2 linked regions of the Bombyx mori genome follow. The protein of the gene in region 2 purifies or fractionates together with the protein of the main gene of each other region. This does not show direct contact. Links are inferred from orthologs where the notes say so. Each region holds a gene or a part of one and is shown on either strand. Other genes may lie near its edges.

The links.
Region 1: the proteins of tether containing UBX domain for GLUT4 (region 2) and nuclear protein localization protein 4 homolog purify together in Homo sapiens (affinity purification with mass spectrometry; 3 studies listed by BioGRID and IntAct, with this or other methods). This does not show direct contact. The link is inferred for Bombyx mori from reciprocal best matches to the Homo sapiens genes ASPSCR1 and NPLOC4.

The regions. Positions count from the first base shown.
Region 1 is NC_085123.1:16,719,721-16,723,653, forward strand, and holds the start of nuclear protein localization protein 4 homolog, read left to right. Parts: upstream 1-1,299; 5' UTR 1,300-1,420; coding exon 1,421-1,462; exon of another isoform or gene 1,463-1,517; intron 1,518-1,592; coding exon 1,593-1,859; intron 1,860-2,869; coding exon 2,870-3,051; intron 3,052-3,933. UniProt on the Homo sapiens protein: The ternary complex containing UFD1, VCP and NPLOC4 binds ubiquitinated proteins and is necessary for the export of misfolded proteins from the ER to the cytoplasm, where they are degraded by the proteasome.
Region 2 is NC_085117.1:12,214,875-12,218,807, reverse strand, and holds the start of tether containing UBX domain for GLUT4, read right to left. Parts: upstream 2,435-3,933; 5' UTR 2,242-2,434; coding exon 2,161-2,241; intron 1,680-2,160; coding exon 1,487-1,679; intron 662-1,486; coding exon 442-661; intron 1-441. UniProt on the Homo sapiens protein: Tethering protein that sequesters GLUT4-containing vesicles in the cytoplasm in the absence of insulin. Modulates the amount of GLUT4 that is available at the cell surface. Enhances VCP methylation catalyzed by VCPKMT.

The sequences.
Region 1 (3,933 bases), on a different chromosome or scaffold from region 2:
CCTAAGGGATAAGACGTCCGGTGCATTCGTGTTGAGCGATGCACCGGTGTTCGAATCCCAGGCGAGTACAAATTTTTCTAATGAAATACGTACTCAACAAATGTTCACGATTGACTTCCACAGTGAAGGAATAACATCGTGTAATAAAAATGAAACCCGCATAATTATAATTTTCGTAATTACTGGTGGTAGGACCTCTTGTGAGTCCGCGTGGGCAGGTAGCACCGTCCTGCCTATTTCTGCCGTGAAGCAGTAATGAATTTCAGTTTGAAGGGTGGGGCAACAGGTGTAACTATACTTGAGACCTTAGAACTTATATCTCAAGGTGGGTGGCGCATTTACGTCGTGGATGTCTGTGGGCTCCAGTAACCACTTAACACCAGGTGGGCTGTGAGCTCGTCCACCCATCTAGGCAATAAAAAATAAAAATAAAAATTAACTTCCTTAAGTCCACTTAAAAACTTTAATCTCCTTCTCGACCTCTTTAACTTTAAAAACCTTCAACTCCTTCTGGACCTCTTACTAATAAGTTTAAACCTCATTCACTATAAACATGATACATAAACATAGAAAACAACACTCCAAATTAGTATTGCTATTCCCACTTAAATCAGTCAAACTCAACTCAACTTACAAACCATAAGACAACTCATAACAAACACAACCTCACAAAACTTTATACTCAATACTTGAATAATAAAAAGAATCATACCTTCCTATCATATAATCATACAACCTTTCATTATCTTTTATTAGCTTTCAATTCATAAAATTTCTCACTTTCTTTTCTACTACATATTAACCGTTCAATTATTTTATTATAAAACTAAAACAAAAATTCCAAAGGCGCAATATGAATATATTTTTTATTAATATTAGAATACTATTATTAGCTGCTACGCAGTTTTATTCACTTTAATTTAGAAAAAAGCAAGACCTCACGACCAGTCTTTTTTTCTGGAAGAAAGGTAGGTACACTTAATTTTAAATGTATCGAAAACTGGATCTACTGGCTAATTTATTCGTGTATCCGATTTTAAGCGTGATATTTGTCCTGTCATTGTTTATGTTCCAGAGTCGGAAAAAGTAGAACAATCTGAAATTATTTCTAGCATACAGGTTTTTGTGGTTCTACGCTTTAGCGAGTTAAACAGAGATATATTTTTATTGACGTTATACATATTTTTCACTGTATTTGGAATACAAGATTTCAAAGATTTGTCAAATTTGTTATGTCAGTGCTTTGTTGGTGTTTTGTAGTTTTATGTTGATGAGAAGATGTCTAGATCACAAAAAATGGTACTGAATTACCTCACATAGCATATGAGCCTGTCTTCTTGAGAATTAGATGCCTGTTTCAGTGAAAAAATATGAGACTTCAAGTCATAGAAATTTCGAGTTTGCTGTTGATTAGTTTGACATGTCTTCAATTATTTTAATGTTTTTGGTTCGGTTTTTACAAGTAAATAATTCACAACAGAATATTTTAATAATTCTTAATTGGAATATTGGAAAAAGTATAATAGATTGCTTGCCTTAACGGACATAATAATTTTTTTCATTGTTGATCAGGCTTGCCGTTTGTTTTCCAGCTATTGCGAGTTCAGTCACCCGAAGGTACAGCGCGAGTGGAGGTGCTGGACTCCGATGTGACGGCGCATCTATTCGAGCGAATATACGAAGCTCTGAATCTGAACTCTTTCGCATTCACTCTGCACAAGGACAGACAGCGCAAGGAAGAAATCACATCCAGCAAATCGAGACAGCTGCGAGATTGTGGACTGTGTCATGGCGACATGATATACTTGAATCCAGTCAATGGTGCTGTACTCTTTGAACAGTCTTCCACAAGCTCAGAGGTGATTTGACTTCATTGTGTTCCATTCTGATGTAGAAGCTAAAGGCATCTTGAATAACTAATAAAATATGGTTTTAGAATTAGAATCAACCTGGCTTTAGAATTCAAGTCATTTCAACTGTATCAATATCTTTTGTTCTATAATAATTGTTACTTATGGTTCGGTAAAATAATAGCAAATAATGTTATAAAAATTTGTAATTGACAGTGTCAGTGGTATTTATTAATGGCCCTGCACTCATGAATAAATGCCCCTTTTTGCTTCTTTTTAATTTTAAAATAGTATAAGAGGAATGCCCTTGGAATGGAATTTAAATATTATTTTGATTTTTTTTATTGCCCTTGTAGGCGCATGGCCCACCTGATGGTGAGTGGTTACCGTCGCCCATGGACTTCAGCAATGCTGGGGCAGAGCCAAGCCGCTGCCTACCGCAAACATACTATTTTTACAGATATTTCATTTCATCTATATCTATTACATTGATAATAATATTCACTTCCATACACAGGGAGCAGTCTTATTGACCTAGGGTGACATTTTTCAAAATGAACTTATAGCTCAGACTCCTATACCCAAATTACTTTACAAAATACTTATCAATTTAAAAAAAATAAGTATTTACTAAAATTTTAGTCATTCTTACAAGTTGATACATGTATAACTTATACAGTATTTTGAAAATTTTCAAATAAGAGCTTGTGTAGATCTTCAAATAAGAACTTGTGTAGATCTTCAAATAAGAACTTGTGTAGAACTTGGGTAGATTGTAGACCTTGTAGACCCCCAAAATTAATTTTTATTAATGGTAACTACTGGTAAACTTATCTCAACCACTTTGGGAATCCGTAATCTAAATAAATGACAAGTGAAAAGCAGCTTGTGAAATATAATATCTAATCAACACATTTTATAGTCAACTGCCTAGATATTTTTAAGATTAAAAAAAAATTATCTCCAGTATTGTTTTTTCACAAACATTATATTAATTTGTTATATTTTCTATTTTACAGACCCACCGGAAACCCCTCAGTGAAAGTTCCAGACCAGTTCAGTCATCAGAGCCAGGTCCTTCCACGTCTAAAGTCACATTACCAATACCCCCCCCACCTCCTGGTGCTCCAGAGGAAGATGAAGTAGATTTGCAATTGTACAAAGTTTCTGGTTTAATTGAAAGACAGAGGGATGAAAAATTGTAAGTATTTTACTATATTCTTTAACATTTTTATACACTTGTTGAACGCCACGTGAAAAATCGAATGAACCGTTCGGGCCTTGAGGGTTACCTGTGAGCCATATGAGGGTTCTAACGTAAACGCTTCCTACAAGCTACAGATTGCAGCTATCAAACAGAATATGCATGAAAGTGACTCACAGGGCCCTTTAGTTGAACCGAATTCCTTGGTTTTCACATCTAATAGAAAGTTGTAGTTTTTATGAAGATTATACCTTTTAAAATATCTTAAAGGCTTTTTTTTTATTGTCCTTGTAAGCAGACGAGCATACGGCCCACCTAATGGTGAGTGGTTACCGTCGCCCATGGGCTTCAACAATGCCAGGGGCAGAGCCAAGCCACTGCCTACCGCTTTATACTCTCCACAAACCTCGTTTGAAGGACAGGCTAGACAGTAGAAGTCACTGATTTTTATCTTCCATGCAAATTATCGCATTTTACAGGTTTTTTAATGAAAATCTCAAGTTGATAAAAATTACTGATTCCCTGATTTGGTCTTGGCCCGAATGGTATAGCACGCTACGCCCACCGGTGGGTCGCATGGTCGTCATGGCATTCAACATCTTAAACTGTTAATAGTGGCATAGTCTTCTGACATGGTCAGTCAACTCTAACATGTTTTTTTTAATTATAATTAAATAATCGATATTATAAAGATGGAAGTATATTTTTTTGTTACATTTTCACATCAAAGTATTTAAATGGTCAAGATGCACATTGCATAAAATAAACTATTCCTGAAGTTTTATTTTCTATATTAACAAGTATTATATATGTATATTAAATGTATGAAATGAAAAAAAAAACAGTGATTTTCTTAATAATCTGTACTGTATTGACCAA
Region 2 (3,933 bases):
GTCATATTTTCGCAATTAGGATGCAGCGCTGCTCCGCGAAAGCGGGCAGTATGCGGGCGTGTGGTCTACGATTTTCTCGTCACAACTACTGCAGACGTAGTACTTCAGCGTCGGTTCCCTGCGAGCGACGAGGCGCACGTACGGCCAAAATAGCTGTGTGCACCTGCGTCGCCTAGTTTGCTAACAGTAGCTCTAGCAAGAATAGTGCTGCTAGCGCAGAATCTACCAGCGAATCGGATACGCGATCCACTGAGAATACCAGTGAGAAACTCAAGTTGTTATCACTAAATGTGACATGATGCAAGAACTGTGAACAGTTTGCAGTGTGTAGTATACCCGTGTATGTATCTGGTTATACTACTAAACTATTTTTACTGCTAATATGTAGTCAATAATTAACTTAAATAAAATTACTTAACTGTAATTTCAGAACTTTCTTACCTAGCATCTTCTAGCTTATTTAGCAGTCTCAGAATGGCTTTGCCTTTTATTAAACCAAGATGTCTTAATGATTTTAATTTGAGAGCATCAACACCGACAACTTCCTGGCGCATATATAAAATACATGGATTTAGCAAGGAGCCAAACTCATTAGGTGCTAATTTCATTATCATATCATATAATGCTATGTTTGGATTAAAATCAGCTGTTCTTCTTTCACCTAAAATAAATAAAAAAACAATTGTAAAAACACTGGTGCTGGTGATCAAGTTAATATATAAAGGGTTTGTGTTTTATGTTACTTCATAAAGAGGCTGGAACTATAAAAATTGTGATCTTCCTCTACCTAAAATATAAAAGTAATATTTTTTCTAATAAATAATGCTTGATTAACACTACTTTTACATTTTAATTTCACATAAATGTACTTTTCTTTGTGTCTATGATTTGTGAAAGTTGAAGGACATACATCGTTTGGAACCTTTGGGTCTGCGGAGGGACTTCGGTTCCCTCTGTATTTTGTACCGAATGTTCCATGGGGAGTGCTCTGAGGAATTGTTCGAGATGATACCGGCATCTCGTTTTTACCATCGCACCGCCCGCCACCGGAGTAGAGTTCATCCATACTACCTGGAGCCACTGCGGTCATCCACAGTGCGTTTCCAGAGGTCTTTTCTGCCACGTACCATCCGGCTATGGAATGAGCTCCCCTCCACGGTCTTTCCGAGCGCTATGACATGTCCTTCTTTAAAAGAGGCTTGTGGAGAGTATTAAGCGATAGGCAGCGGCTTGGCTCTGCCCCTGGCATTGCTGAAGTCCATGGGCGACGGTAACCACTCACCATCAGGTGGGCCGTATGCTCGTCTGCCTACAAGGGCAATAAAAAAAAAATAAAAAAAAAATACTATATTTATTATTGTTCTAATGAGTCTGGTAGCGTCTAAATGACATTAGTAGTTCAATTATAACAAAAATATCATGTCCATCAAAAACAGTAGTTTCCTTTTTTTTTCTTCAGAAAACAGATTTATGTTATTATACTTACCATCTTCTAACATTAAACCAATTGTGACAATTGATTCCTCTCGTCTTGTTTCACACTCAACCATTTCAAGTGTAGCTCTATTTGGCACATTAGAAAATCGTATTGTTGTTGTTAAATCCATTATCTGATTATGAAACTTCAAGTTGTAGTCTAAAGGTTGGAATCCTTGTTTTTTACATGCATCCTCTAAGATCTAAAATTATATTGATTTGACTAATTAAACCTTACCACTATTACTATATGATTGATACATTTACACTAATTTGCAATTTAATTTTTATTTATTGGTAATATTGTAATTTTTTTTATATCAAATTATTTTAAATTATTATTGTAATGTTAAAAATGGTTCATCAAGGCTGAAACATCAGTATTAGAATAAATATTATAATCACTACATTACACAGCAGTCATGAAGAATATTTGTGCACGAATTGAATACAATTTTGCATTTTATAATGAATTAATCGAAATAGTACATTTGAATTCAGTGTTTGAGTGTTTTTATATAAACAAGCATCAAATAAATATTCATAGTTTACCACCAACAAGACAACTGAAATGGAAACTTATAATAAGCATAGTTACGGGTAGTTTAAGAAACTAAATTTTATAAGTTTTCTGAAAATACTTTCATATTAAACATTTACTTTATAGCATTCCAAATCTAATACCTGTAACATGCTAGTGTCTGGTGTACAATGCACTTTGTGTCTTCTTCCATTGGGTGTTAAAATGATGATATCTTTCGACATTATTTATTTTTGTTGGTTTTATCGTTTTACTAATTGAAATGAAATAATTATTTTACGATCTTCCAAAATATCTACAACTTCCTACATAACCTAAAACTAAAATACAAATTAAGTAACTTTACATTACAAACAACAAGTCATCTGTTTATAATTTTTTATCTGTCCCCAATTTGATTCTCTTTGCCTCAAATATTAAGTGTATTTTATCTATGCTCTTTGCATGCACAGACTATTTAGGTACTAAGAGATGCATATCATAAGTGTATTTATTATCTATGCTTTAGATTAAAAATGTACGTACGTCGAAGAAGCAATGGTAATGATTGAGCCCTAAACACGTCATTACGGATCCTCCCGATCCATTAACGGTGCTTTTAGGTACCTCAAGCATCGATCATCGACCTAGCCGAACCCGTCGCTTGCGACGAAGGGCTCGACGAGTAAATTAATCCATAGACACAGCCCACTGAGTTTCTCGGCGGATCTCCTCAGTGGGTCGCGCTTCCGATCCGGTGGTAGATTCTGCGAAGCACTGCTCTTGCTAGAACCAGTGTTAGCAACACTTCGGCTTGGGCCCTGCGAGCTCACCTACACGTCAAGGAAAAGCTTGACTTGAGAAAAAGCTATTGCGAGAACCCTAAAGAGTGGAGAGCACTGTTTTTCTCAATGGTTTCGTAAGTCAGGCGTTAGTTATTAGTTTGCAAAAATACTTATAGCATGAAGGGAATTATTTCAAAAAATAGCAAATGAATTAATAGGTAATTGCTGCTATTTTAATCTACAAATGTATATTCTAAAACTTGGTGTCAAACGTCCTATGAATATTTATAGTTGAACATAATAATAACTACTGATATGCCGATCTAGCTCCACTTTTTCAAAAATGGCATCCAATTTATCCGTAATAGGGCGACCAGAGCGACGTGCATCTTTGACATCAAAATTTCCGGATTGAAAACGCACCAAAGTGCTACTCTCACAGACACTGCACTAGGTCTATAAACATAGCAATTTTTTTTTCCGGGCTGGCGTTGCATTTTTACTTTTTTGTAGTAAAATTTTAAAATGTATCGAGTTTCTTCATTAGATTCACTCATCTTGACAGTACGAAAAATAAATAAAAATAATATTCCTAATTTGAATTTGGAATTATCTTCTTTAAAGTTTAAGCTTTTAATGATACCAAAACCAGCCAGATACAAATAGTATAATAGCCAAAGAGCTTTTGTTACTAGTTCATATATATGCGAATAGACTATAATGCGAAAAGACTTTTTCCCCAACCTATTAGTATTAAACATTATCATACAATGTATGTAGAAATGTTTCTCAATTATTAATATATTTGAGTTTTATCGAATTCTCCCTAGCCGCTTACAGTTCTTAGAAGCTCTCTAAGCACCGGTCACCGTTCTCGATTCCGATCCGGTGGTACATATAATTTACCTATTAGACTACGGACTGTCCCTAATGAAAAATGTTGGTCAGGATTGCGCTTCAAAAGTCGAAAAATTATTAAATTTTCCATTCATCGTACCTGGATAGGGATAATATGGGCGGAAGAGCGCGGAGATATATGATACAAATGATACTCGACCGTGATGAGGAATAGGAAGGACTTATGTATCTTTAGACAACACGTCGTGCTAGAAACCCACGCAGGGGCACCGGAGGGTGTCTACGATTCATTTT